Linked DNA regions of Pelodiscus sinensis. The main gene of each other region encodes a partner of the protein of the gene in region 3 in a complex. Links are inferred from orthologs where the notes say so. Each region holds a gene or a part of one and is shown on either strand. Other genes may lie near its edges. The genes, in order: MKS1, CC2D2A, TMEM237 and B9D2.

Evidence for each region.
Region 1: TMEM237 (region 3) and MKS1 share a complex: the UniProt entries of both Homo sapiens proteins name them as parts of the tectonic-like complex. The link is inferred for Pelodiscus sinensis from reciprocal best matches to the Homo sapiens genes TMEM237 and MKS1.
Region 2: TMEM237 (region 3) and CC2D2A share a complex: the UniProt entries of both Homo sapiens proteins name them as parts of the tectonic-like complex. The link is inferred for Pelodiscus sinensis from reciprocal best matches to the Homo sapiens genes TMEM237 and CC2D2A.
Region 4: TMEM237 (region 3) and B9D2 share a complex: the UniProt entries of both Homo sapiens proteins name them as parts of the tectonic-like complex. The link is inferred for Pelodiscus sinensis from reciprocal best matches to the Homo sapiens genes TMEM237 and B9D2.

What each region holds. Positions count from the first base shown.
Region 1 is NC_134731.1:16,307,676-16,315,231, forward strand, and holds the start of MKS1 (tectonic-like complex member MKS1), read right to left. Parts: upstream 3,404-7,556; 5' UTR 3,385-3,403; coding exon of another isoform or gene 3,326-3,384; coding exon 3,246-3,325; intron 2,878-3,245; coding exon 2,756-2,877; intron 1,442-2,755; coding exon 1,374-1,441; intron 1-1,373. UniProt on the Homo sapiens protein: Component of the tectonic-like complex, a complex localized at the transition zone of primary cilia and acting as a barrier that prevents diffusion of transmembrane proteins between the cilia and plasma membranes.
Region 2 is NC_134715.1:107,493,331-107,500,731, forward strand, and holds the start of CC2D2A (coiled-coil and C2 domain-containing protein 2A), read right to left. Parts: upstream 3,317-7,401; 5' UTR 2,919-3,316; intron 2,869-2,918; exon of another isoform or gene 2,641-2,868; 5' UTR 2,578-2,640; coding exon 2,541-2,577; intron 1-2,540. UniProt on the Homo sapiens protein: Component of the tectonic-like complex, a complex localized at the transition zone of primary cilia and acting as a barrier that prevents diffusion of transmembrane proteins between the cilia and plasma membranes.
Region 3 is NC_134717.1:56,805,625-56,812,880, reverse strand, and holds the start of TMEM237 (transmembrane protein 237), read right to left. Parts: upstream 3,207-7,256; coding exon 3,177-3,206; intron 1,085-3,176; coding exon 1,053-1,084; intron 1-1,052. Other genes in the region: MPP4 (MAGUK p55 subfamily member 4), read right to left, coding at 5,437-5,628. UniProt on the Homo sapiens protein: Component of the transition zone in primary cilia. Required for ciliogenesis.
Region 4 is NW_027465992.1:83,777-91,370, forward strand, and holds the start of B9D2 (B9 domain-containing protein 2), read right to left. Parts: upstream 3,348-7,594; 5' UTR 3,205-3,347; intron 3,149-3,204; exon of another isoform or gene 3,098-3,148; intron 1,920-3,097; 5' UTR 1,916-1,919; coding exon 1,828-1,915; intron 1,643-1,827; coding exon 1,517-1,642; intron 759-1,516; coding exon 445-758; 3' UTR 1-444. UniProt on the Homo sapiens protein: Component of the tectonic-like complex, a complex localized at the transition zone of primary cilia and acting as a barrier that prevents diffusion of transmembrane proteins between the cilia and plasma membranes.

The DNA.
Region 1 (7,556 bases), on a different chromosome or scaffold from region 3:
TTTACTTCCATTCTTCTTGAATTGTGGACACCAAAACTGGACATACTACACCAGGCACAGTTGCAATTGTGTCAAATACAAGGATAGAAGACCCTCTCTGCTCCTACTCAAGATTCCCATTTATGCATCCAAGGATTGCAGTATGTCACAACACTGCACTGGGAGTTTAAATTCAGCTGATAATCCATCCCACCCCTATATCTTTTTCAGAGTCCTTGCTTCCCAGGATAAAGTCCCTACGGCCTAGAGTCTCTGTCCCTAGATATGTACATTTATGTATAGAAAGTTTCAGGGGGTAGCAGTGTTAGTATTTCACTTTAAAAACAAGTAGCCCTGTGGCACCTTAGAGATTAATAAAATATATATATTTTTATGAGCTTTCGTGGGCAAAACCCACTTCTTCAGATGAGGGGAAGCTGGAGTGGAAATAACCACTATTTTAAGTGTGTAAAGCTACGCACATGCATAACTGTTTGTGGGATTAGGATTTAAAATTGATGTGGTTGTAACTGTGGGACCAGACTGCAGTTCCTGGAGCTGGATCCTGGACCGTTAGTAACCAGAATGCTGTTTCTCTCTTGTGATTGAGAGTCACTTCCACTGCTTTTCATAGAATCATAGAATACTAGGACTGGAAGGGACCTTGAGAGGTCATCAAGTTCAGTCCCCTGCCCTCATGGCAGGACCCAGTACTGACTAGACCATCCCTAGTAGACATTTTCTAACCTACTCTTAAATATCCCCAGAGATGGAGATTCCACAACCTCCCTATGTAATTTATTCGTGTTTAACCGCCCTGACAGTAACTTTTTCCTAATGTCCAACCTAAACCTCCCTTGCTGCAGTTTAAGCTCACTGCCTCTTGTTCTATCCTCAGAGACCAGGAAGAACAAGTTTTCTCCCTCCTCCTTCTGACACCCTTTTAGATACCTGAAAACCACTATCATGTCCCCTCTTAATCTTTTCTTTTCCAAACTAAACAAGCCCAATTCTTTCAGTCTTCCTTTACAGCTCATGTACCCTAGACCTTTAATCATTCTTGTTTAATGAGTACCCTCCACTCATCCCCTACAGACATGGACAAGATGGCACAGGCAAGCAGTTGGGATAATTCTAAATCAGAAACATGTTCCATTTTCTCCTAGTGGAGTTTAGAGGCTGCAGTGGCCATGAGAGGCTAGAGAATATAAACCATATTGAACTGCAGCAGCACGTATATCTCTAACTGTGAGCCAGAGGAACAGGCCCTCCATTCTGCTCTGGGACCTGGAGATGAAGCCAAGTCCCCTTGCACTGGACACACACTATCCACTATACTATTCTGAGTACTATCTGCCACTTGAGGGGTCACTTCCAGCCTTCTGCTTATTCACCTGGCTGAAGAGTTTATCTTGCCAGCCAATCACGGCCTCCTCTTCCTCATCGTCGGCACGATAGCCACCTGAAAGACAATAGGGGGCTGGTCACTTCTTCACACATGTGCTTCTTCCCTCCACGTTGAACAGGATTGGTTCCAGGATAGACCCTTGAGGGACCCCACTAGTTACCTCTCTCCACTCTGAAAACTTATCATTTATTCCTACCCTTTGGTTCCTGTCTTTTATCCAGTTATCAATCCATGAAAGGACCTTTCCTCTTATCCCATGACAACTTACTTTACTTAAGAGCCTTTGGTGAGGGAAATTGTCAAAGGCTTTCTGGAAATATCCACTGTTAGTTCATGGGGGCTAACGTTATCTATGGCTATAAACCAAGATGATCAGGAATGCACCCTTATGCTCTGGATATCACTAGCTTCTGATTCCCAAAAGCTGGGAATAAGTGACGGGAAGAATCACTTAATGATTGCCTCTTCAGTTCATTCCTTCTGGGGCCCCTGGTACCAGCTGCTGTTAGAAGACAAGATATGGGGATAAATGGATCATTGATATGATGCAATGTTACTATTTTTATGTTCTTCTGCTCACAGCCAGTCTCACTTTTCAGCAAGAGAAAAGACAATGAGCCCTGTGAGTGGAATAGCCCTGGAAGCCTGTTTTGCAACTAGGTATAATGCTCAATTGGCAATACAAATGCCTAAGGTCAAAGAGGGTGGAATTTCCTTCTTCAACATGATGCACCAAGAAAAAGAAACAAGAATTGGAAGGTGCTTCTTCACTAAGAAAAAGATGTGTTCTCATTGCAAATTAACTAACAGTTGATAACTAAAAAGATCAAATCCCAAAGTCTGCGGTCAGCACATGTATTAGCAAATTGAGCCAAGTATTTTGCAAGACTTTACTCTGAGGTGCTAACATGTAAAAACTACCAAGTGGCTTGTCCTCACTAGGATTTGACCTTGTAGTTGCTAACGAGGTCAAGGCACACCTTTTCCCTAGCAAAGATGCACCCACTCTGACACCTTATCCTACCACAGGTATTAAATCCCTGTCTCACCAGTTGCTCCCTGGCTGGGAAAAGGAGGCACTTCCTACCACTATCAGAATATCCAGGGGGAGAAACGGGGCACCTGTTCCATCCACAGGTAGGACAGGTCTTCATATGAGGTAGCCCAGAGAAGCTGAGGCTGTCCTGTACTCTGTGGGGTTGAAAGGTGTAAAAATGCCATCTCCCCTCCACTGAGATTGCTGCAAGTCCGGCATCTCTCCCTGCCTGCGACCTGTGCAGTGGGGCTTCGGCCAAGTGGCAGAAGCCATTGTGAGGCCTTGCACAGGAGAGATGGGTCCCCATCCGACACCAGCCATGAACCACCTACTTGTTGCTGGATGGGAGCTGAAGGTGGCCAGGCTGATGAGATCCTTCCCCTGCTGCTGGCTAGAGGGCTGCTGGAGCTGCTGCAGGAGCAGGCTGGTGGAAGTGACATGCTGGACATGCACCCTGGGCAGGGAGGAGCACCAGGCTGGAGTCAGCAGGCTGCCCAGGGCAGGGGAGGGAGGAAGGCGCCAGGGGCCGCTTGCCTGGGCCCTCCCCAGGCACCCCAGCCTGCTGTGCCACAACAACGCCCCAAAGGGGCCCAGGTACCCTCCATGGGACACCCCACACTCCCCGACACCCCACACTCCCCGCCCCCCCCCCGACACCCCACCCCCCGACACCCCACACTCCCTGCCCCCCCACGACACCCCACACCCCTCCCCCGACACCCCACACTCCCCGCCCCCCCCGACACCACACCCCCCGACACCCCACACTCCCTGCCCCCCCCACGACACCCCGCCCCCCCGGAACACCCCGCGGGCCCTGACCGGACGCGCAGGCCCCGCACGGGGTCCCGGGAGCGATACACCGCCCCCCCCGCCTCCGCGCTCCAGCACGGCTCCGCCATGGCCCGGCCCGAAAGCGCGTCCGCGCCCCATGGAGATGGGCGGGGCCTCTGCTGAGCATGCGCGGCCCGTCTCCCCTGGCCGGGGGGGGGTGCGGGCTCTGCGGGGGCCGGGGGGGTGTGCTGGGTCGGGGGGGGAGGGGTGCGGGCTCTGCGCAGAGCCTGCGACGGGGGCTTGCCCGGCAGCCAGGGAACAGGCACGTCGCTTGCCCCACAGTAGACGCACACTAGGTCAAAAGACAAGGACCCCCCTTGGGGGGCGGGGCGGGGAGGGGGCCGGCCTGGCTTTCCAGCTCTGCGGACTCCCGAGAGCTGCAGGTTCTCTCCTGAGACTCGTGTCCGAACCAGCGCCGTGGGACATCCCCATGCGCTCACAAATGCTTTGGCTTGGTTATTTCCTTTCCAAAGAAATGCGTTTGTGCGTTTGCTCTGTTCAGTGACGGGATGGACCGGGGTGCAAGGCTGGACCTAGAACATGTACCCAGCATCGATTTTTGCGTGGCTGGGCATAATATTCACCAATACAGCTGGGCGTGACTATGTGGTGGTTGTTCACTAGCAAAGCTTTGTATGAGACAGTCCTGGCTAGAGAACCAAACGGACACAAGCGCTCAGATGTCATCTGCTCAAGAGCAGGAGAATTTGCATCTTGTGGCTATAGCCTGGACCATGGCTATATGAAGTGGTACTGTCCCAACCCTCTCAGTTCTTTTGCACTGAAGAACAAACTGATGCAAAGGAAATGGAGGGTGGGTCGCTGGAACACACATCTGCATGATGTCTCCCAGAACCACAGTTACAGTAATTACTCATTTAACATGTGCCGCTTAATACGTTTTTGCAATAGCATGATTTTTTTTTTAGGGAATGTTTTTCGAATAACACAACCATTCCCAAAATAACACAAAAATAATCAAGTGGCAGACTACTTTATGTGGCGGTATAAGTTTGTGAAAACAGTGGTAATATGCATGAGCAGATGAGTACACATGGTCACAGTGCTCCTCCCTTCACTCGTGATTATCTTTGTGTTTTAACAAACTGCAGTGACTTGTGTTGCTAGAGATCTAACACCAACAAAAAACTGACTTTGCCATTGCCATCTGAAATGCAACCCCCACCTTTTCCATTATTTTTAATGGGAAAATTGACCCCACATAGCTCGTTTTCGCTTAGCACAAACATTTTCAGAAATGCATCTATCATGTTAAATGAGGAATTACTGTAACCAGTTCTCAGTTTTGTGCCATAATTCTACTTAAGTGACTCCCTCACAGTATCTCCCATGAGGAGGTGGAGCTTAGAGTCCACCTACAAAAGGACTACAGGACCAACCTACCAAAGCTTACAACCGTGCCCTGGAAGATGGAGTAAATGTGCATATGGATGATCACATGGCAGTCCTGAAGAATGCTATGGACATGCCTTCTGCTTTTGTAGATTGAGCTCACACTCAGAGATGGGATGTAGCCAAAGCTATTTCACAGGTGGGTTTGATACAGATTTCTCCATTTGGAGAGAATGAAGAGACTACTTGCCCCTTCATACAATCAGGTGAGGCAAACCACCAGGTGAACTGTGATTGCCCCTTAGCAGGGAACCCTCTTCCCTTGCCAGGTCACATCAGGTGAGGCAAAATTGAGTCCTGCCCAATAGAAGGCCAGACCTGTAGCATATGGAGACACTGCTCCTCCAGCGATGAAGGCAGCTTAGGTAAGTATGCAGATAAGTAAAATGTGTTTTTTTGTTTCACTTGAGCTAGCTATGGTTAAACACAATTTTTGGGTGTGGTCAGCATCACATTGGAGAATTAGCTATAAGGAGGTGCTGCTATCTGAGCCGGCAGCTCTCGCCCATTCCTTGTGGATGTTTTCACTACCAGGAACACAGGGTTCTGATAAAAAAATGGAAACAGAGAAGATGCCAGGGAATCAAACAGGTTCCATCAAAGGCGCTAGGTTTGATGTTAAGGTCCCACAGAGAAATTAGCTCTTGGACTGGAGGATGTAGAGGAAGAAACCCTTTCAGGGACCTTGCTATTATGGCATTGGAGAAAACTCATCTTCCCCAATTGGAGAGATGGAATGCTGATATTGCTGCCAGAAGAAATTTCAATGAACTAAGCACAAGTCCCAAGAGCTGAAGATCCATCCCTAGGGGAGTGCCGGGCCCAGGACAACCCCCTGCCCAATTTGCCTCAGGCTCTACCCCCCCTTACTAATCTCCCAGGCCACCTTGAGGGCCCCCCCCCAAAGTGCAGGCCCTGTAGTGGTTACCCCAAACCAGCCTATGCAGGTATGCCAGAATGTCCTGGACAGAAGCCAGCAGGATGAATTGCACAAGTCAATACATCCATTTAGATGCCAATTGGATCCTGGCAGAGGGCTCGCTGGTGTGCTGCCTCATTCAGCTGTGCAGCAGCCACACCAGTAGCAGCAGGGAGCTGCACCTGGGATGCAGCAAGTGTGTGTGGTTCTGAACAAGTTGGTCAGGGTGGAGGGAACAGGACATGAGGCTGAATAAACAGTTGAAGAACCAGAACTATGAGCCTGCACTTGGCCCTACCCACCTTCTGCTTGTGGGTGACCGGCAGAAGGGCGAAGAAGAAAACTGCTTGGCAGCTGCAATGAAAGAACAGAAGAGGTATGTCATGACCATGAGGGTTAGCCAGCAGCCTGGGGAGTAAGAGGTTAACTGTACCTAAGCCAGGTATAGTCAGCCAATACAAATGCAGATAGGGATTTCAAAATGGGACAAAGGAATTTTTGGGTTTTTCCCTCCTTTGTTTCTGCGCAGTTTTTCTCTCCAGATGTTGAGGGAGAAAGACATGTCTGTCTCTCCAAGAAAAGACTCTTCACCATCTGTAAGTAGGGTAAAGTTTAGATAAATCCATTAGGTTTTATTGTTTTATGATTTGGGAATGGGAATCTGATGTCTGTGCGTTTAAAAATGAGTTTTCCTCTCCTTTGCAACTAAGCTCTTGGCCCATGAGGGGTCCCCCCATCAGTATATAAATTGGTGACTTTTCCATTTAGTCATTATGCTTGTAACAGGAGTACTGTGGTGATTAAAACAAAAAAGAGAGAAAGAACTTTTATTAACCTGGTATTGGTTAATTTTTGCATGTCCTTGTTTTACTTTAGGGCTGAGATTTCTCAAGTGATCTCTTCCCTGAGTTTATCATTACTTGGGTGGTGGCAGCGGATTTTTATCCCCAAAATCTAAGTTTAAGATTTTGGGGGGAAGCTTTATACCAAACCCTGGAAAGATAAGGTTTTGGGGTACTTGTGACATTTCCTGTTGTCCCTGATCGCCAACAGGTCAATCATCTGGATACCCACGCCACAACACTGGCCCAGAGGATAAGCGAAGTTACTCACCTCCAGTGCAGTAACTGTCGTTCTTCGAGGTGGTGTCCCCGCGGGTGCTCCACTATGGGTGCTGGGCTTGCCCCGGCGCCGCAGACGGAGACTTGTCAGTAGCAGTATCCGGCCGGACCACGCATGTGCCGCAGGCTCGCGGCTTTCGCGCTCTTTCCGTCGCGCGGTCCGGCCGCCCGCCAGTTCCTCGGAACCGCCTCGGAGTCTGTAAGAGACAAGAGCAGAGATAGAGGGGAATCCAAAGCGGGGAGGAGGATGGGTAGTGGAGCACCCGCGGGGACACCACCTCGAAGAACGACAGTTACTGCACCGGAGGTGAGTAACTTCGCTTTCTTCTTCGGGGATGTCCCCGCGGGTGCTCCACTATGGGTGACTGCATAGCGGTAGTCGCCGAAAGCGGAAGGAGGGCAAGGAGACCCTATTTATCCGCCGTGGAGAGCACCGCAGTCACCACTGCCCCATCCGAATGAGAGAGAGAGATAGAATAATGCTTAGCGAAGGTCCCATGAGAGGACCAGGTCGCCGTTCTGCAAATGTCCTTCAGAGATACTCCTCTGTGGAACGCTGTAGATATGGCCATGGCTCTAGTGGAATGAGCGTGTGGTTGGGACGGAAGGGGCAACCCTCTTGCTGCGTACGATTGCACTATGCATGCCGTTATGAGATTGGAGATTCTCTGGGAAGATAGGCGTTGACCCTTTGACCTGTGTGTCAGGGAGACGAATAAATGGTCCGTAAGCCTGAACGGTTTAGTACGATCTATGTAGAACGCTAAGGCCCTGCGGATGTCCAAGGAATGTAGGGCCACGTCCCGTGGCGAGGCATGGGGCTTCGGGAAAAAGGTTGGCAAGATG
Region 2 (7,401 bases), on a different chromosome or scaffold from region 3:
TAAAATGATTAGGGGTTTGGAACGAGTCCCATATGAGGGGAGGCTAAAGAGACTGGGACTTTTCAGTTTAGAAAAAGAGGAGACTGAGGGGGGATATGATAGAGGTCTATAAAATCATGAGTGGTGTGGAGAGGGCTGATAAAGAAAAGTTATTTATTAGTTCCCATAATAGAAGAACTAGAGGACACCAAATGAAATTAATGGGTAGCAGGTTTAAAACTAATAAAAGGAAGTTCTTCTTCACACAGCGTGTTGTCAACCTGTGGAACTCCTTGCCAGAGGAGGCTGTGAAGGCTAGGACTATAATAGAGTTTAAAGAGAAGCTGGATAAATTCATGGAGGTTAGGTCCATAAAAGGCTATTAGCCAGGGGATAAAATGGTGTCCTTGGCCTCTGGTTGTCAGAGGCTGGAGAGGGATGGCAGGAGACAAATCGCTTGATCATTGTCTTCGGTCCACCCTCTCTGGGGCACCAGGTGCTGGCCAGTCGGTAGACAGGATACTGGGCTAGATGGACCTTTGGTCTGACCCAGTACGTCCGTTCTTATGTTCTTATGATATGACACATTGACCCTGGACAGACAGTCGCTATGAGGCAGTGGTCACCAACCAGTAGATAGGGATATACTGGTAGATCTTGTATCCTCTGTCAGGTGATCATGACTGGTGTGGGCAAGAGGATATCAAGTGCCAGCACTTAAATGCCCCTCCCCCCACTGCTGTGGATGTCCTGCACTTTGCCTTGCAGCTGATACCACGCCTGGGAGTCTGCTGCTTTGTGTGCACGGCAGGGGAGGAAAAAGAGGGGTGCTGATGTCAGGGTTCAACATATACCATTCTGTATCCTTTCAACACAGGACCAGGGATGGAGTTTTCTTGCTGCTTTAGGTAGTGTTACAGGGCAAGGCCATGGGTGAGCTTGCCTTAGGCACACTCCACCACCATCTAGGAGTCACCAGCAGTGACAAAATGGAGCATACATCACTAACTCCTACCCCTGGCATGAACCCAGTCCTGTATCCAAGCCCTTATCATTGCTCTGAGCACCCATGCATCCAAATACCCTGCCAAAGCCTGCACCTAGAACTCCACAGTAAATGCATGCTCCAAGAGCTGATCAGAGCCCTTCTCACACTCCAGATCCCTTAAGCAAAGACCAGAGCATGTGCACCCAACCGTCTGTCCCAGGCTGATGAAAGAGACTGAGGATGGGCAAGAGAGGGAGGATAGAGGGAGCAGGATCTGGGACTTGGAGAAGGGGTAAGAAGGAAGCGGGAAAAGGGTATTTATATATAAGGTACATATTGGATTGCACTTTCAAAATGTTGGAGCCCCCTGCTCTGAGTTCTCTGACCCATGTCCCCATTGACTACGGGAGGAATCACTAAAATTTCACTTGGCCATGTTGGCGAGGAGTCCTGTGGCACCTTATAGACGAACTGAAGATAGTGCCACAGGACTCCTCAACGATTCTTCATATTCAGACTAACACAGCTACCCCTCCGATACTTGCCCATGTTTGGTGATGAGGATCTGGGACGGAGTTTGGGTGCATGAGGGGTGCTTGCTAGGGGGAGTTTGGGGGACAGGTGTGGGATCTGCCATGGGTCAGGGGATTGCAGTACAGGTGAGGGTGTGGATGGGAGGGACTTTAGCATATCAGCATAGTACACAAGAGAAAGGAGATGCAGTGACTTCTGATAGAGAAACAAAGAGAAAACTATTAAATACTAAAAAAGTGAGAGGCAGAGTTTGAGACAGGAACTGTATGTAGAATATTTCACACTTGTACATATACAGAGGAACGGTGGTGTCTAAGCATTGACCGTCTAGGAATTGGGAGGCCTGTGCCTTTAAGAACTCAAGCCCAGGAGCCCGCCCCCTGCTCGGGGGCTGACAGGCAGCGTCCAGGGAAAATAAAGAAAAAAAAAGACTTTGCCCCTGGAAAACTGATATTTTCAAGGACATCAGGTGGCTTGTCCTGCTGGATGACTGTTCCCACCTCTCCCCCTCCCTAAACGGGGGTTTTCTCCGTGCACAGGGTCTGGCAGTGTCCCCCAGCCCGGGGTTAACCAAGGCTACCACCCCCCACCCCCCTGATTTTTCAAATTTTGCCCCTCTTCTGCAGCTAAAAAAAGAAGATTGATGCCTCCAGCCGGTAAATTTCTGCCCCATGCTCAGAACCAGACACTACCCCCCCTGCAATTTGCCCCCCTTCATCATTTTAAACACCTCCGAAGAGGAGGAAGCAAATCTGAGGAGGCAGTGAGGGCAGAGAGTGGGCAGCGGCTACAGCGAGGGACACTGAGTTTGCTCAGTTCGGGTGCGCATGCTCAGTGCACCCAAAGTAGCAAATTCTGAGAAGTTAGTGTTTTGCTCGCTACACCGGCGCCGCCCCAGTCCCGGAGCTGCCCCAGCAGGCTCCTCCCCCACCCCAAGAAAAGTGGGAGCTGGAGGCGCGGCCACAGCGGCGTCGGAAGCTCGTAGGCAAGGGGTGGAGGCTGCGGCCCGGGAATCCCCCCCGATCACTCAGACACTTACTGCGCGGTGTCCGGGCGCTGGCAGCAGGCGCCGCCATCCCGGCCGGGTCCTCCTCCTCCTCCTCCGCCAGCGAAACAGCGGGACCAACGGCCTCCAGCAGCTGGGGGGGGAGGAGGGGAAAGGAACCGCACGTCAGGGGGCGCTGCACAGCGCGAAGGGCCCCTCCCCGTCACCCGGATGTGCTCCGCGCCCGCCCTGGTCACCGCTCTGCGAGTCCACCGTCCCGCTCCCGCCAGGCAAAGCTCTCTGCGCGGTGCCTAGCAACCCGCCGCCCGCGCTCGCGCGCATGCGCGGCAGGTCTGCTGGCCCTCCGGAGAGGAAGCTGCCGCGGCAACCGACTGCGCGAACGTGAAAGGGTCGCCCCGCCCCCGAACTCACGGGCTGCTTTCTTCCCCGCCTCTGAGCCGTCAGCGTCTGCCTCAGCTGCGCCCCGTGGGCCGGCGCCTCCCGCCCGCCGCGGGAGGGAAAGGCACAGGGGTTAGCCCGCCGTGGGGCTCGGCGGGTGCCGCCAGTGGAGCCCCGCCCTCGTGTTGGGCATCGTCCCACGCAGGGGCGCTAAGCGCGGTGGGAGCTGGGCCCCAGCTCTGCCGGGCGTCGTCTAGTTAACGCGGCTGCTTATCGGCCGGGCCTCGGCTAACTTGCGCTCGGCACTGGGCTCGCGCCTGCAGCTTATCTGCGGGGCCGGCTACCCTCGTGCCGACTCCATGGCATGGAAACCTGCAAACTTCACAGCTCCTCGGGGGCTGCGACATAGAACCGTTAGCTCCGAGTAAAACAACCCTTCGTCACTTCAAGAACAGTTTCACAGTTTTTGAAAACTTGGTGTCGTAACTAACTCACATGATCACAAAGATTGTGCATTTATTTCATATTGCCTATAATTAAAGTGGACTTGTATATAACGTGCATATGGCCATTCCAGTTGCCTTCCATTTAACCTGTCTATGGTACTTGTCTGTCCTTAGATTTTGAACTCAGAGGCAGGACTGTCCTTTTTTGAGTATTTGGAAAATGCCCCCTACACAGCAAGCACTACAATAATTACTAATGTAATATAAAAAGCATCTTATGCTCAATGATTTAGGAATAACATTAAAAACTAGTGTTTGTTAAATATAGTGCATTGTATTATGTTTGATTGATTTGCACAGAAATACATTTTTTCTTAATAGCCACATATAATCCCTATCAATTATAATGAGTCACTTGCATTTACCCAAAGGACAATTAACTCCTATATTACGAAATCTGTATATTACTATTTAGTAACTAGCAAAAGTGTGATATGAACAAAACCCTATCATACTTTTTAGAAAGAAAGAAATGCCCCATAATCCATCTATGCATTTACTGTAACTAATCAGACTAACCTCCATAGCCATAATCTGGGATTCTTCATTGAAATTCATGTTTGCAGCAATTGATACCTGCCTGTAATACAAAAATTATTAAAATCAGATGTACACATTAATGCACAAGCACTCATCATGCAACAGACTTCACAAAGGAATACCTCTGCATCCAGTGGACCCTATTAACTTAGAAGTAACGTTAAAAATATTTAACACTTGAAAAAAACAGTTTTATGGTTTTGAAAACGGAATAATTTCCTGCTATTTGTAGCCAGGACATATGATCTTCAGAATATATCTACAAGGTTTTTTTTATAATTCCCTATAAAAGTGAATCAAGTCGACAAATATAAATTGTGTATGAGTTACCCATTATTGTAAAGCATCTACAAACTGTCCATGATTGGTCCATATACAGTTTATTGCAAGAATGGTGTTCCTTCTCACTTTTAGCTGGTTCATTCTTGCCAAATCTGAAATTTACAGATGTTCCTAAAGCTTTGTCTGCATGATGAAGTTAGTGATTTAATTCAAACTGTTCAGAAAATGATTCAGCCTATATAGGTACACCCTCCATGATTTGTAACTGCTACCTTGATTTAAGAGCTCTGATATCTATTTAGTTTATGTCAGTAAGGAATCAATTTCAAATAAATCTGTTTAAGGCACTCTTAAATCCAAATGAGAGCTCAGGTTACACGGTTGCAAGCTGTATGTACCCTGTTGGATCTCTGCATAAACCTCAACTCCAGATAAGGGATAAATTCCCTCCCTAGTACCTCAGGCTGTGTCCAGACTCAGGGGTTTTTTCGAAAAAAGTAGCCTTTTTTCGAAAAAACCTCACCTGCGTCCAGACTCAAGCCGCGTTCTTTCGAAATTAAATCGAAAGAACGCGGCTTTTCTTTCAATGGCAGTAAACCTCATTTCACGAGGAAGAACGCCTTCTTTCGAAAGTTCCTCTTTCGAAAGAAGGCGTTCTTCAATGTAAATAGGGCTTCTTCGAAAGAGAGCATCCAGACTCACTGGATGCTTTCTTTCCAAAAAGCAAGCCGCTTTTTCGAAAGTTCAACGTGCAGTCTAGACGCTCTCTTTCGAAAGAGGCTCTTTCGAAAGTATCTTTCGAAAGAGCCTCTTTCGAAAGAGGCTTGCAGTCTAGACATAGCCTCAGAGCCACTCACATCTTCTTACTATATATTTTAGAAATGTGTGTCTGTCTGTTGAAGAGCTCCTCCTAATGTTAACAGATAGGGCCACCAAATTTGATATGCAGCTTCTTATCATAACTTAAAGCAAGGTCAGGGTTTGGTTGTGCCAAGACAATGGGATGTGCCTGGAATTCAATTGTTTCTCACAAAATGGAAATGGAGAAGTCTGGTAGGAGGGAGTTATACTGCAGAATGAACATAAGGGGACAGGAGATGGGGTCGAAGATGGGGACTGTACAACTATAACCCCAATGGGCCAGCAGGGGCAGGAGTAGAGAAAGGGACAACTATCTACTATCTATTTCAGAGAGATTATATGAATTGTATGCTCCTGTATCTATCTGTGACTGGGGAATGTTGGACAGGTGCTTCTCAGTTGGCTCCAAGCTGCTGTGGTGAGAGAGGGCAGAGGTTGCCCTCTTTCCCCAGGGCACCCTGCATACTGAACCCTTCATCCCCAGCTCCACCCCAGCACAATGATTTAAATGAAGAAAAACAAAACTTATTTGAGTTAAGGACATGAGCAATACCAGGTAAATCTTGGAGTCAAATAATATTTTAAATCTACTAACATTAATCTGAAAAGTTATTTCATTTTAATATGTAGCACATATGTTATTATATAAGCACTTTACAGAATCAAATTCAAATAATTCTGTGTGTGTCGGTGAAAGTGACTGGGGAATATCTTATATAAAATGGTCCTTACAATAAGTGTTCAAATAGCTCTTGAAATTAGTGCCATAGCCTATAAAAATTATAATGCATAATTAAATGCTTTTGTCTATGAAAGAATGCAAGAGATTTGAAGTTGTTCAGTAAAATAGAGTTCGTCTATCTCTGGACAATCTAAAGCTGAAAACAGGGATACAGTCGAGTATCACTAATTGCACTTTTAAAATAAAATTACCTCAAGAATCCTTTATAAAAGTCACTCTGAGGATTTCTGTTTCTAAAAATTCTTTCTTTCATGAAAAATGAAGAAAGGGGGGATTTTTAAAAAGATCCAAAAGGTTAGCAATTGACTCATACCTGGCTTTCTTAGGCGGTACTTCAGAAGTTGCAATCAACAGTCTGGCATAACAAAAATGCCCATCTTAGCAACAAGGTTGCTAAGGAAGGTCACTACTATTTGTTTTTAAAGGGGTAGAGTCAGAAAATCTGCTAAATCAATTCAGGAAATCCTCAGATTTTTAAAAAAATCTTAAATACAGTCAGAAGGAAAAGAATGTGGTAATACATAGGAAATGCTTATGCCCCCAATCCTGCAAGCATTTACACACATGAATAATCATATTCACTATCCGGCTACGTCTAGACTGGCATGATTTTCCGGAAATGCTTTTAACGGAAAAGTTTTCCGTTAAAAGCATTTTCGGAACAGAGCATCTAGATTGGCACAAACGCTTTTCCGCAAAAGCACTTTTTGCGGAAAAGCGTCCATGCCAATCTAGACGCACTTTTCCACAAAAAAGCCCCGATCGCCATTTTCGCGATCAGGGCTTTTTTGCGGAAAACAAATCTGAGCTGTCTACACTGGCCCTTTTGCCCAAAACTTTTGCGCAAAAGGACTTTTGCCCGAACGGGAGCAGCATAGTATTTCTGCAAGAACGCTAAGAATCTTACATGAGATCGTCAGTGCTTTTGCGGAAATTCAAGCGACCAGTGTAGACAGCTGGCAAGTTTTTCCAGAAAAGTGGCTGATTTTCCGGAAAAACTGGCCAGTCTAGACACAACCTCCATGTTTACATCCTTGCAGAATTAAAGCTAAATTGTAGACAAAAGGATGATTAGTGACACCCCACTGTAAATCAGTATTTGTGGCTCTTGTCGTCTCTCTAGTTCTTAGATGCGGTGGGGAGGGGCGAGGGAAGGGGGAAGAGATTGTATGCTTCAGTGTTCCCTGTAAGCTGAATGCTTGTGCGACCGCCCAGGAGAGGTTCAAATGCCACACAGCTGATTAGCAGAGGTTCTACAGCTTCCTACAGCCATCACTAGATGTTTCTATTCGTGGTACACATCTGAAATGCCTCAGAGCACATAACAAAATTTATTCCGTACATGGATGGAAAAACTTAGAGGGAACATTGATATGCTCCTACTTTTTCCTCAGAATTTTCTTTAACTGGAATTGCAATTATTATTTTCAAAGGGCAGAGATGCAAAAAGTTTGAGCATGTATATTCACTACCATCCTCCAGGTCAAGCCCTTCTGTTTTTTGTTTTCAAAGATGCAGTTTTCTATTGTATGTCTGGGCTGGGGCAAAGATATAAAACTGAAGAATTAAAAGTGAGTTATCTATC
Region 3 (7,256 bases):
CCAGTTAACCATTGGAAGGCTGGTACAGAGCAGCTGGGGTCTCTATGGGGCATGGATCTCACCTGCTAGGTGTGATAGGGGCTGCTCCAGGCAGGGACTGCCTGCAGCTGCTCCAGCCTAGCTGTCCTGCCGTGGGCAGAGTCCTGCCCTGGCCTGCCATGCCCACTGCTCCACAAGCTGCGATCTGATTCAGCCTAGCCCACCACGACCGGGGTCCTTCTGTGTTGCAGGGAGGAGGCTGCTCTGGCTGGGTCTGGCCTGCCACCAGAGTTTGGGCAGGGTCCATTTACCGGTTACCCATTAAGTATGCCAGTAAGTCTCTCTCTTACCAGGTAACTGGTTAACCTTTTACATCCCTATTCCATGTGCTAAGTGCCAGGCTGATTTTTAAAAGTCTCAGCCCTAAAGCACTTGCTAATTAAAATATAGATCAGAGACAGCATTCCCAGCAATAAAGAATGAGGTGAGGGCCAGGAAAGGAGAACAAGGGGTTGAGAATAGAATAGCTACTGAGACTGAAGTAGTCTTAAAAGGTTTGATGCATTTTCCCCTTTCGAATGACAGAAGAAACAATATGAATTAAACTGCTTCCCAGTCTACTGACAACAAGAAATGTCTTTTGTACTATATGACTGGAAAATAAGCATCCCATACTTCAAGAGCTCTGGAAAGTCAAAGGACGAAGTTATTCATAGCCAAATAAATCTTTTTAGAAAATTAGTTATAAAATTTAGCCTTGCAGCACAGAAAAACATTAGTATGTTGCAAATTTTTGTGGTGAAATACAAAACTGAAATAAAGCTAGGTTTATAATGAAAGTGCTGACAGACTTACCCATAGCTTCACAAATGCAAGTTTCATTTTATTTTAAACTTTGTTTACCCAGAATTCAAAGAAGTTTTTTTTGTTGGTTTAAGACACTTAGTAAAATCTCACTAAAATCTATGAGAACTCTGAGATTTCTGCTGAGCTAATTTTTCTTACTTTCACAACTTTTAAGTACATTCAAGTGCACAAAAATGACCATATTTCACAGAATCAAATAATCTTACCTTGGAACTGGGGGAAGGGCACGGGGTGGGCGCTAAAATTTAAAAAAGAAATCTTCCATTAGTATGTTATAAAACCACCTCCCTTCTAAGCCCCTGCTAAGCCATTTCAAAGAAGCCAGCTAGTTCCAAGCATGACTGATACATCCAACATATATTAATCTTCCGAAAGGCAATTCTGAACATTACATACATAAATGTACACAAGTGCATTGAGATTCTTGGATGGAAGGTGCTATGAGGATATGCACATTTGATGTCAATGTCTAAATTCAGATATGTGCTGTATTTTAGAGAGACACTATGGACACTTTAAAAGCATATGTAGCTATTCTCTAAATATTTTTGTTTCTCTTATAATAAATTACACAAAGAGGAAAGTTAATTCATCAGTCCAGTCAGTTATTGAAAATATTATCTTAAAAGAGACTATCAAAAATTAAGTATTTAATATCAACATACTTGCATATTATATAGTATGAAGACATGTATGTACTTATTAGTGAAATTAATTAGAGACAATTAGAGAAAAATACTCAAAGTTTAAACAATAATTGAAAAAGAAGTCTAACATGATAAAAATGTGTATTAAAACACAACTTTTTCAAATTATTTTGATCTTGAGGTCAAATCAAAATTTAAACTTCAAAATAATAAAACCTTTTATTAACAGGCTAGATGAAGCATAGCTGACACTTTTCTTGCCTAGAAAAAACGAGGTAGCTTAGATTCAGATTTTGTATTAAATAAGTGAATTGGACAATGGAAAAAATCCCCATGCTCCCAAGACTTTATTTCAATTTAAAAAATGCACAGATAATGTAATTCAAGGCTCCTTAGAACTGAACTCACCACCTGTTTCTTCCCCATACCATTCAAAGCCAGTCTTTGAGAGAGACACTGAATAGCATCCTAAATCCAACTGTGACAGCTCTGGCCTCAGCTAATTCTGCACTAAACATAAGCTGCTGATAGACTGGATTAGTTGGACATGAACATTGCTATCTCTGATACCACTCTTATTTAAGTCTATGGGAGTTTTGCCACCAATTTTCCAAACGGAACAGCAATGGGTCCCTAATGCTTCTTGCAATTAGAAATCCAAGTTCTCATTATTCACAGGGGGGAGGAAAGGGGAGGGGAATTGGGTTAGAGCAGGGGGGAGATGCCTGGCTCTGGAGGAGGGAAGGGCAGGGAGGGGGATCAGGTTGGGGGGGGATGTGCATGGCGTCCCAGCACCTCAACTCTCCACCCAACCCCAATACTGTCCAGCCTGAAGCCCCCTCCCTGGGACAAAATACCAGCATCTATCTTCCCCCTGGCACAGCTGCCTTTTTTTGGGGGGGGGGGGGGGGGCTAAACAACTCCCCCCGCCCCAGTGGCTCTTTGCACTCTGTCCACCACTATTTTGGCTCTTCTTCTCTAACCGTTGGCCAGCCTGCTAAAAAATGTACTGGCAGGGAGGGGAGGGAAATGCGTGTAGTCTATAGCATTAACCTAGAAACTTTAGCTTATTGGTTAATTGATTAATCGGCTACACTATTACATCCCACCCGCCGACTTAACCCTGTAACTTGCATCCCCAGCGGCCATGGTGTCTAGCCCCAGTGAGGTGCAGAACTTTACTGAAAGGACTTAAAAAAAAAAGACTTTTCCAGATTGGTCTGTGCTTCGAACAGCCTCGAAACTGCAGCCTCCCGCCCCGCGCTGGCTCTGCCCCGCCCCGGCGGCAGGCTCCGGATTTGTTTAACGCCGTTGCTTAGCAGGGCTGAACAGGCACCTCGGGCCGGGGCCTCAGAGAGCCCCTGGGCATCACCCGCCGCCCGAGAGCCCTGGCGCTGGGTCGGGCACGGAGCTCGGGCGGGGCACGGACACAGGGGCTGGAAGGCTCCTCGCGAAACTCAACCCCCCCCCCCCCCCCGAGAAACCTCCCCCCCACGATCCCCCCTATCCCGCACACTCCCCCCCGGGCCCCCCCCACACACACCCGGTCCCCCCTATCCCGCACACTCCCCCCCGGGCCCCCCACACACACCCCCACCCTGCACACTCCCCCCCGTTCCCCCCATCCCGCACCCCCCACGGTCCCCCCCACACCGAGGCCCCGCCCGCCCCCGGCCCCCTCACCAGGCGGGCTCCCTGCGGCGGGGTCTCCATGTCGCTCCCGTCTGGTCTCCCAGGCCGAGGGGCGGGAAGGGGCGGGCGCTGCCGGGCAGGGTTTCCGGGCGGCGCGTCACGGCCCCCGCGCTTAGGTCCAGCCCGCGCAGCCGGGGGGGGGGCACCGGCGTGAGGCTCCGACCCCTCCCCCCCCCCCCGGCTGGGCGAGTCCCGGGGCGGCTGCCGGATCATCGCTCCTGCCCCTGTGCAGATTCGTACCGGTGCGGAGCGGCCCGCGGCCCCCTCCCGGCGCCCCCTCCCTCGCTCGATGTCCAAGGTACAGTCCAAAAAAAATTGGACTTACAGAGAAACAATTTAAAGCAGGGAATTCCCCCTCCTGGCTGACTTTCAGTGGCGCAAATTTGAGGGTTTTTTTTTTTTTTGCATGTTTTAAGAGCTGGGAACGGGAGGACTTCTAGTGCATCAGTTCCTACAAGTGTCCTCAGCTTTTTAGTGTGCAATGGATGCATACCAGGTGACTTACAGTGGGGATGCCCTGAACTTTGCATGGCTGCACTGGGAGCCTTTGCTCTATTACCACTCCTGTTAGCTCCTGTTCATGTGCAATCCCTCTGGTCAGTTCAAGGTTCCTCCACAATCCTGGGCAGGAACGATCAGCAGGAAAAAGACATGTTTGTACAGGCTGGTGCAGTTAGAGAACCATACTAGTATAGATATAAAATATTGAACCAGCAACAGAAATTCAGACCAACAAAAAACAATATAGATTTGCACAGTTCTATAACAATCTAAACAAAACTCCCAATATGTAACTAGGCTCTTTATTCAATGACTGAATGACACATACTCTCAAAGGACAACATGCAGGATTGACCAGGAAGGTCTGAAAGAATTCTTTGTGGCTTGTCAAATTCAACTATTTTCCAACTCTACCATTGCATTAAAATATGCTTTTAATATCAACACAAATTTTGGCTGATCCAGTTAGTAGATTAAGAATTGTGCACAGGGAAAAGATAAACCCAGAATCTTTTCTATTAGAATTAAGACACCCACACACACACACATAGCCTTAACATTTGGTATATGTATTTCCTGTAATGGTGAATGACTGGTGCAATACAGTAGAAAACTCAGGTGCATAAGGCAAGTAGCCACTTGAAGCTCTCTACTCTCGCTTTCTATAGCTTTGGAAGTAAAACTTCTAAAATAAATGCTTCAACCCTCTAAACTTTCTGTTCATTATCAGGAATAATACACATTTACTTCTAGTGGATAACAATGGATTACAAATAGTGTCAGCCAAGATACATCAAAGAGTCAGGAGTCAGAGTTATCAGCAGCTCTCCCTCCTTTAATGATGAATCCCATTTCTAAATCCTGGGCTAGAAGCAGAATGTTGCCATCAATCAATTGTGCACATCATCTGCCACTCCTGCTCATTGCTGTGTTTAGGAACCCTTGCAACCAAAGGACCTAGAATCCAAGGATGCAGTCTTAGACACATAAGTAATTTCACTGATTTGACTTCAGTTAGACTAATCATGTGGGTAAACATTTGCAGTACCAGGCCCTTAACCTGCTCTTGCGTCTAGATTGATATGCCCATTTTTGTCAATTGCTTCTGCTAACATGTTATGAACAAGATCATCATTACATTTAGTGATGAATTTTTACAAAGCTGATATCTGTCAGCATTTGATAGCTGTGAAAATTAATTTTATTATAAAGGTGAATGAATGTGAATTCTAGAGTCATTTGTGTTGCGAATTACATTAAACCTGTAACTAATTTAAAAATAAACATCAGCAAAGAAACGTGCTTGGGACAGAAGCATGCAGCAAAATAATATATTTATAAAGCGTTCTCCTTTGGTGCACGAAGTCAACCTACTAAGTGTATAACAGACTTGTTGGTTTTGCTTTGGCAATACACAAGCATCATAAAAATCAATACGCCTTTAACAAAAAGGAGGTATGGTAAGCACTTAGACACAGATATGATTAGACCACACAACTACATGCAAGAAAATAGATCTTTTATTTTTGTCATTCTGAGTTACTACAATAATTTTGGGGGTACAAAATTAATGTTAAGCAATCATGTTACACTAAGAACTACAATGAAGACAGCATGATTATCTTGTAATAGCTTTTTTCCTAATCCCCCTGCCAAATCTCTCCTACACAAAGCTATATTCTTAGAATCCTGACAGAATTGTTCTTGAGGTAAAAGATATAATCTTTGTGAAGCTGCCTGCTTCTCAGCATTATGGTTGAGTGTCTGAACATATCCATGTAGCAGGGACCCACTGGGGCTCATCTTGTGCCTGATGGACTGCAGACAGCAGCTGCAAACAGGCCTCTTGTAAATTGTCATTTATAATCACTTGATCAAAGAACTGGCCAAACTGAGCTTCTATTTTCTTAGCAGAATCCTCCATCTCCTGCAAGTCTTCCTCCTGCAAGAAACAATATAGACCTATGAAACTATCATTTCATGTGGGATGCTTTTGAATGGGAATAGGTTTATCTAAGTTTTCACTTTCTACTCTTCCAAAGAGAACTAGGGTTAGTGGCCAGAAGACAGAACTGGGAGCCAGGAAATTTGATTTTCTCTTCTCAGCTCTGCCCCTGACTCAGTACAGGACCTTGGCCAAAACACTTAGCCTGTCTGTCCTCATTCATAAAATGAGGCTACTGCTTACCTCACAGGGAGGCTGTTAATATTTATAAAACACTTTGAAATAAAGGGTGGCATAGAAATACAAAGTAATATTATTATAAATAAAGACCTATTCTGCCATGGTTCCGCCTGGAAGTGCTGCAGGCATCCCTTCAAAAACTTAGTTACTATGTATCAACTTAGAATCATAGAACCATAGAGCTGGAAGAGACCTCAGAAGTTCACCAAGTCCAGCCCCCTGCTCTAGGCAGGACCAATCCCAACTAAATCAACCCAGCCAGGGCTTTGTCAAGCTGAGACTTTGCATGTGTGCCCTATTATAAACCCCACACTTCTTGTAATAAGTTCCCCTGCAGGAGTGGCCCGTGGATCTAGGCAAACTAACCAGTTGCCTAGGGCGCTGCGGGCCTGGGCGCCCAATGATGTCGTCACGGGACTACAGGGTGCCATCATGGCTATTGACAACCGTGCAGGCGGGGGCGCCAATTGCACCTTCCGCCTAGGGCACCAGCTGCCACAGCCAGCCTCGGGCCGCTCCTGTTCCCCTTTATGATAATTTTATATTTGAGAGGGAATTCTTGTAGGTAATTTTCAGTGAGATGCCATTCTGCAAACCCTCTGCCAGCAGAAGCTCTCACTGAAGTTACTACAAATTCCACAGAGCTTCCAAGATCTGTTATTTTGTACGTCTTTTCAGAGTAGCTACTGGTTGGAAAATGGTAGCATTGGCCAGATCCTCAACTAGTGGAAATTGGCATAGCTCTAGAGACTTCAAAGGAGCTGTGTCAATTTACACCAGCTGAGGATTGTCCCTGTCTGTAAATACTAACACCAATACAAATTATTCTGACTGATAACCAACAACAACTCTAAGTTACGCATGTCATAACAATGATAATAAATTCTAAGCCTTTGAAATGCAACCAATGGCTTGTGTAGTTTACAATAAGTTTTCCTCTACTTCCATGTGCTGGATTGTGTTGTTGCCTAGATGCCGTGCAGGTGAAGTCATTTGTCATTGTACTAGCTAATGTTACAGGATCCAGATGTGATAGACCAGTGGTCTGATCAGTTTGCCACAGCTATATTCCTATTCTGTATTTCAGTTTATCAGCAATATTTCCACAAATTCCATGGTTTTTAAGCTACTTAATTACAATGCCCTCTCACAGCCAACATGACGGACAAGGGCGTGTAGGCAGTCCTCAGAACATTTTAAAAAAAATACAGTGCTGGACAATGAAGATCAAACTGAAGATTTAAAATTATAGACACGAGTGTGACATTCTATTTTTAATCTCTTGTTTAATTTTTGTTAAGTGTCTGTACAAAGTGAGGCATTTATATGGCACTGTAACATAAGTAGGAATGCATCCTATGCAGAACACAGTAACCATGCTTTTG
Region 4 (7,594 bases), on a different chromosome or scaffold from region 3:
GGGAACCATCAACTCCCTGGAACCAGGCCCCCCCTCGGTAAGCCCGGGCCAGCCCAACCCCCTGCCCTAGGCTGCTCGGGGGCCCAGGAACGGCTCCCCCATGCTCTTGTCCTTACCAAGAGAGCCATGGGAAGGGGGCGAAATGTCTGAACTGTCCAAGTGTGTGGGGGCCACAAAGCTGCGGGGCCCCAGGGGGCCACCCCCCTGGATCCTGGGGCTCCTCCAGCATCAGGCACTGGATCTGGGCAGACCCCTCATACTCCAGCCCACGGTGGGGTTTCATACGGCCTGCAGTGACCCACCTGCCCCCCAGCGCCCCGCCCCACGGCAGGGGCCCCTCCATTCCTCTGCCCCCCAGCAGGGGCCCACCTGCCCCCCAGCACCCCAGCAGGACCCCCTCCCCACCTGCCCCCCCCAGCGCCCCGCCCCACAGCAAGCCCCCTGCTAGCACTCCACCCCGTAGCGGGCGAAGTTGCGCAGCAGCACGCCCAGCTGTAGGTGCACGGTGCCGGCGGCGACGGTCTGCAGGCGGTACCGGTCGGCCCCCGTGTAGATCAGGTCGCTGTTCAGCAGCTGGGGCCCCCCGCCCACGAAGAGCTGGGAGAGCCGCTCCTGCCAGGAGCCCAGGGGCTGCCAGGTGGCGCAGGCCAGCGCGTGCCAGCCCGGGCTGCAGGGCACGTGGCAGAAGCCGTAGCCGTACAGCTCGCTGCGCCCGAAGGCGTCCTGGTGCCAGACCTGCACGTGCAGCTTGGGCCAGCCTGGTGGAGAGAGGGGACCCGTCAGAGCCCCCAACCCTGGCACTGCCTGGGCCAGCACCCCGAGAGGGGATGGGCCGCATGCTCCATGCCCCGTCCCATAGGAGCCACCAGCCTTTCTCCTGCAGCCGGGACAGGGGGACGTGGGGCTGCATCTGTCCCCCTCCAGGACCTGCCTTGGGGGCTGAAAGGAGGGCAGAAAACCCCAGATCACTGGGCAACAAACCGCCTCTGGGGGTTCTGGACAGGAGGCAAAATGCCTTTCACTGAGAGGAACTCGCTTTGCGCTGGGCCTGCAAGGTTCCCTCTCAGCTCCTCCAGCCACTGCAGGGCTTTGCCACCCACGCGCGGAATAATTTTATGCTGTACACGGGGGCACGTGTGGATGTGCACCACCAAGAGAAACAAAACCTAGCGGTGGGCGCTCTCCTCGCCGGCTGGGCAGCGCCGGACTCTCTCCTGAGCAGTGGCACAGGCGCCCAGCGTACAAAGAACACCACCAGCCAGCGCCTTTCCCCATCTCCTGGGCTGTCTGTCCCGTGGGGACAGGGACACAAGACCAGGGCTGAAACCTGTGTCCAGGGGGAAGTCTGCCCTGCCCTGCCCTGCCCAGCCTCCGGGGGCCACCCAGAACGTGGGGGGAGAGATGGGCCCCCTGGCAGCCACCTGCCCGTACCACTGGCCCTGCCCCCAGGCCGGTTCGGAGATCCAGGCACCCCGGACAGAGGGGGTTGGCCCTGGGGCCGGCGGCCCCCGCTTACCCTGCAAGCCCTTGGTGGCGAAGTGCACGTCGATGGGGTGGGACCAATAGGCCACGTCGTCCAGCTGGGGGTGATCCACCTGTGTCTGCCCCTCCCGCAGGCCGGAGAGCAGCTTCCAGGCGCCGCCTGGGGGGGGGGAGCATGGTCAGCGAGGGGCTCCCAGCCCTGGCTCTAACCGCTAGGCCTGGGATAGAACCCACAAGACTGGGCCCCCAGTTCTCCAACCCGCTGGCTCTGGCTCTGGGCCTCTCCAGCCCGTTCACCGCAGATGCCACCCCCCAGCCTCGCGGGTGCCCGTGGCTCTGGCTGACCTGTGTGGATTCCCCACTTGCAGAAGAGGCTGGAGCGGGGGAAGCCGCTGGCGCCCACGAGCTGCCCGATGATGTGCACTTCGGCCATGGTCCTGCCGCGGGCGACCCAAGAGGGGGGTTAGAAATAGAACCCAGGAGTCCTGGCTCCCAGCCCCTGCTCGCTCCCTAACCACTAGCCCCCACTGCCCTCCCACCGCCAGAAAGACCCCAGGCATCCTGACGCTCAGCCCCAGCTCTAGCTCCTTCCCAAGGAAGCGGCACCGAGCTGCCCTCCTTGCGGCGGGTCCTTGGGGCACCTGCCCCACAAGGGCTGAAATTGCTGGGGGCCAACCCGCCAGGGACCCGCCGCTGGGCTGCTGCAGCGGGGCAGAGCCCTGGGCAGCTGAAGGTCCGGCCGCCTGCTCTGGGGGGGCCGCGGGACCCGCCTGGATACCCGGCTCCATGCCCGGCACGGTGCTGGGGGGGCGGGCGCTGCAGACCAGCCCCTCCCCGCCCAGTGGGGGCTGCACCCTTGTGGGGAGACCCCCGCCCCAGGGCAACCCCCCTCTGGGAGCAGCACCCCTGAAAGGCAAGAGACCCCCCCCACTGCTGAGACATCAGCACCCTCGGGCCCCGCCCCCACTGGCCACGCCCCTCCTTCACATCGGGCCCCGCCCCCACTGGCCACGCCCCTCCTTCACATCGGGCCCCGCCCCCACTGGCCCCGCCCCTCCTTCACCCCGGGCCCCGCCCCCACTGGCCACGCCCCTCCTTCACCCCGGGCCCCGCCCCCACTGGCCCCGCCCATTCTCCACCCCGGGCCCCGCCCCCACTGACCCCCGCCCCTCCTTCACCCCGGGCCCCGCCCCCACTGGCCCCGCCCATTCTCCACCCCGGGCCCCGCCCCCACTGACCCCCGCCCCTCCTTCACCCCGGACCCCGCCCCCACTGGCCCCGCCCCTCCTTCACCCCGGGCCCCGCCCCCACTGGCCACGCCCCTCCTTCACATCGGGCCCCGCCCCACTGGCCACGCCCCTCCTTCACCCCGGGCCACGCCCCCATTGGCCACGCCCCTCCTTCACATCGGGCCCCGCCCCCACTGGCCACGCCCCTCCGTCACCCCGGGCCCCGCCCCCACTGGCCCCGCCCCTCCTTCACCCCGGGCCCTGCCCCCACTGGCCCCGCCCATTCTCCACCCCGGGCCCCGCCCCCATTGCCCCGCCCCAGGGCCCGGCCCCCCCCACGTGTGTCTCGGGGCGGGGACAAGGCGCCGGGCGCGTGCTCAGCTCACACCGTGTAACGGCGGGGGCCGGGAAGGGCAGGCAGGAGCGACACCAAACGCATGCGCACTGCGCGGCCACCATCCCACCGCCCCGCCCTCCCTGAAGAGCTACAGACCCGCTCGCGCCACGGGCCCGGCTCCGCCGCGCGCCGCTCGCGAGCCCGCGGCTGCTACGGCAACGGCGGCGGGCTCCTCCCCAACGCCGAATCCTGATTGGCTGGCGCAGGGGCACGTGACGGCGCTTGGCGCAGGCCCCGCCCAGGAAGACGACAAGAGTTCGCCGCCATCTTGACTGTGGCAAAGAGAGTCGTGAAGGCGGCGCCATCTTGGATGGGTCATGACGGGCCGGGGACGCCGCTATTGGGCGGAGCAAAGCCCTGGAGGCAGCCATCTTTGGGAAGGGCAGCGAGCTTGGCAGCGTGGGGGCTGCGCTTCGTGAGAGCACCGTGGCAACAGGGGAGGGGCATCATGGGAACACCATGGCAACGGGGGAGGGGCATCATGGGAACACCATGGCAACGGGGGAGGGGAATCTGGGAACACCATGGCAACGGGGGAGGGGCATCATGGGAACACCATGGCAACGGGGGAGGGGAATCTGGGAACACCATGGCAACGGGGGAGGGGAATCTGGGAACACCATGGCAACGGGGGAGGGGCATCATGGCAACAGGGGAGGGGCATCATGGGAACACCATAGCAACGGGGGAGGGGAATCTGGGAACACCATGGCAACGAGGGAGGGGCATCATGGCAACGGGGGAGGGGCATCATGGGAACACCATAGCAACGGGGGAGGGGCATCATGGGAACACCATAGCAACGGGGGAGGAGATTGTGGGGCACCATGGGAACGCGGGGGGGGGGCACTGTGGGAGCACCAGGGCTGAGCTCAGGGCCTGCCTGAGTCCAGGCCCCAGCCCCGCCCGTCCCAGCCCGTATCTGATGGTCGAGCTGGAGCCCAGCAGACCGAGCGCCAGGCACCAGCCGCTGGGCCGCTGGCCTTCCCGGCCCCCAGTGCCCAGCGCGTTGTCCAGAGGGAGACAGACCCTCAGCAAACGTAGGCAGCCACCCCGCCCTGGATCTGCCAGCCTGCATGGACCAGCCATCCCCCGCCCCCGCCCACAGCCAGACACAAAATCTGACCCCCTGCTCCAGGCACTTCACCCTCCACCCCCGGGCCACGCCCTGCGCACTGCTGGGCCTTGGACACTCAGCAGGGACGAGCCACCGCCAAGCAGAGACCCCTGCAGCACACCCAAGGGGCACCTCTGACTTCGTTCACTCAGCCCTGATCTAACCCAAGAGCCAAGCTCGGTGGGTCCTGCACTGTGCTCGGCCATGGTGACATCTTGTGGCAGTGAGTCCCACAGGCCCACCCTGCCCGAGAGCACCCGTTACGGAAAGAGCCCCCTGGGCCCTAGCTGGGTGGCCATTAGGGTGACCAGGTGTCCCCATTTTATAGGGACAGTCCAGATATTTGGGGCTTTGTCTGCCTGTGGCCACCCTGCGTTTTCACACTTGCCACCCGACTGGCGACTGGCTACTGCTGCAAAGAGGGCGGGATCAGGCAGAACTGAAAGTGCTTCACAATGCAGTGGAGGGGGAAACTGAGGCACAGAGAGCGCATGCCCATAATCGTGGTGGACATCAGTGGCGGAGCTGGGGAGAGAACCCAGGAGTCCTAGCACCATCCTCTCCCCCTTCAGCTATAACCACGGGCCCTTCCTGCCAGATAGCAGGCACCATGTTGCTCTCTCCTGGCATCATGGGCCCTTTGCTCTAGCGTCCCTTGGAAACCTGCTGTTTCCAGCCCCCCACGGGCTCCGAGCAGGGTTCTAAAATGCTGGCGAGAAGCTGAGAGCACAGGCGCCTAATGCACCACGCCCCGTCTGCTTCCCAGCACAGGGCCCAGGCGGGGGGGCACCAGCAGGCTGAGCCTGAGCCTGGTCCAACTCTGGCTGGATCCCCACTAGCCCAGCTTTGTGCCTGGCTAGCCCCACCCGGCGTGAGGGCCAAGGTGGGGGGGGGGGACAAAACCAGGCTGGTTCACACCCAGACCAGGCCTGTGTCCTGGTGGCTTGTTACTGTCTGGATCCAGAGATGCCCGGTCTGGTCGGCTCCATCGCAAAACCCTTGGGGCAGGGAGCTTGAGTTGGGCTGTTCCCCAGAGAGAGACATGGGATCCAACAGAGCTGGGGGGGTAGGGGCTGCGGGTCGGAGCGAGGGGCACCGGCAGGGCTGGGGGGGCAGGGGCTGGGGGGCAGGAGAGAGGGGCACCGGCAGGGCTCGGGGGGCAGGGGCTGTGGGTCGGAGCGAGGGGCACCGGCAGGGCTGGGGGGGCAGTGGCTGCGGGTCGGAGCGAGGGGCACCGGCAGGGCTGGGGGGGCAGGGGCTGTGGGTCGGAGCGAGGGGCACCGGCAGGGCTGGGGGGGCAGGGGCTGTGGGTCGGAGCGAGGGGCACCGGCAGGGCTGGGGGGGCAGGGGCTGGGGGGCAGGAGAGAGGGGCACCGGCAGGGCTGGGGGGGCAGGGGCTGGGGGGCAGGAGAGAGGGGCACCGGCAGGGCTGGGGGGGCAGTGGCTGCGGGTCGGAGCGAGGGGCACCGGCAGGGCTGGGGGGGCAGGGGCTGGGGGGCAGGAGAGAGGGGCACCGGCAGGGCTGGGGGGGCAGTGGCTGCGGGTCGGAGCGAGGGGCACCGGCAGGGCTGGGGGGGCAGTGGCTGTGGGTCGGAGCGAGGGGCACCGGCAGGGCTGGGGGGGCAGGGGCTGGGGGGCAGGAGAGAGGGGCACCGGCAGGGCTGGGGGCCAATGTCCCCGTGGGGCTAGAAGGAAATCCATGAACAGCAGCGGGTGCGTTTGGCTACAGGACTCCTGGGTCCCCGGTGGCTGCTCCCACCTCCACATGCAAGAGGCGGCAGCTGGGGGGTGGAGGGGGGGGCTGGGGCCTTTAACAGCCGCACTCCTGCTTGGTGGGATGGGGGCTGATTATGCAGCAGCCATGACATTGACGTCCGACCCCCGCACCTTGCGCTGACTAATGGATCCCCCTGTGGCTGGCCCCCCAGCCCCCAGCCCCCTCCCTCAGCCACACGCTGGCACCTCTCTCAGGGGCGGGGGTCGCTAGTCCTCCCTTGCAGCTGGGGAAACTGAGGCACGGAGCACGACAGTGACAGGCCAGGATTGGGACGCTGGGTCTCCTGAGGCCCAGTCTAGGGCTCTGCGCACTAGGCCTTGCTGCCAAGCTTCCCCCCCCGCAGCGTTTGAGAGCAGCCTCAGCAGATGGGGAGGAGGGTGGGAACGGAGGGGGGAGATAGATGCAGAATGGGGGGGAACTGAGCTCCATTGGGGCCTGCAGGGCTGTGACCCCTCTGTGACCCCCAAGCCCTCTGGGCAACTCAGCCCTAGGCCCCACGTCCCCAGCAAAGGGCAGGAACCGGCAGCGCCTGGCACAGGGGGGGGGGGGGGAGGGGTCCAGATGCTGCCAAAACAGGGAAGGAAGCAGAAGCTCCTGGTAGCTCCTTCAGGCCCCACAGGGCAGAGGCCCCGCCCCCCATGGTGCCCCCCACCCATATAGCAACCGCCCCACACGGTGCCCCTCATGCAGTGACCCCCCCCACACAGCCCGGTGACCTCCCCCTCACCTGCCCCACTCAGCAACCCCCCCCCCCCCCCCCCCCCCGCCTGGTGGGGCCTTGGGGCACAAGGACACAGTGCACGTGCTGCAGCCTCTCCCTGCCACGACAGACCCGTGGAAGCCTCCCCCAGCCCTGCCCCCCCCCCGCTCCCGCCCGCAGCCCCCCACCACCTGCCTGTTCCCTCCCCCGCCTCCCCCTCGCTCGCGGGCCGCCGATTAGTGATTCACCCGGGCGCTTGGCTCCAGCCCCCAGCGCCGCTCCGCTCCCCGCCCCCCCCGGATCCCCCCCCAGCGCCGCTCCGCTCCCCGCCCCCCCCCCCGGATCCCCCCCAGCGCCGCTCCGCTCCCCGCCCCCCCGATCCCTCCCCCAGCGCCGCTCCGCTCCCCCGCCCCGCGCACCCCTCCCTGCGCCGCTCCGCCCCCCGGCCCCACGCATCCTCCCCCAGCGCCGCTCCGCTCCCCGCCCCCCCCGATCCCTCCCCCAGCGCCGCTCCGCTCCCCGCCCCCCCCCCGGATCCCCCCCCAGCGCCGCTCCGCTCCCCGCCCCCCCCCGATCCCTCCCCCAGCGCCGCTCCGCTCCCCCGCCCCGCGCACCCCTCCCTGCGCCGCTCCGCCCCCCGGCCCCACGCATCCTCCCCCAGCGCCGCTCCGCTCCCCCCCCCACGCACCCCCCTCGCTCCCCTCCCCCAGCGCCGCTCCGCTCCCCCCCCAGCGCCGCTCCGCTCCCCGCCCCCCCCGGATCCCTCCACCAGCGCCGCTCCGCTCCCCCCCCCCGCCCCACGCACCCCCTTCGCTCCCCCCCCAGCGCCGCTCGCTCCCGCGCCCCCCCGGATTTCCCCCTCCCAACACCGCTCCGCTCCCCCGGCCCCGCG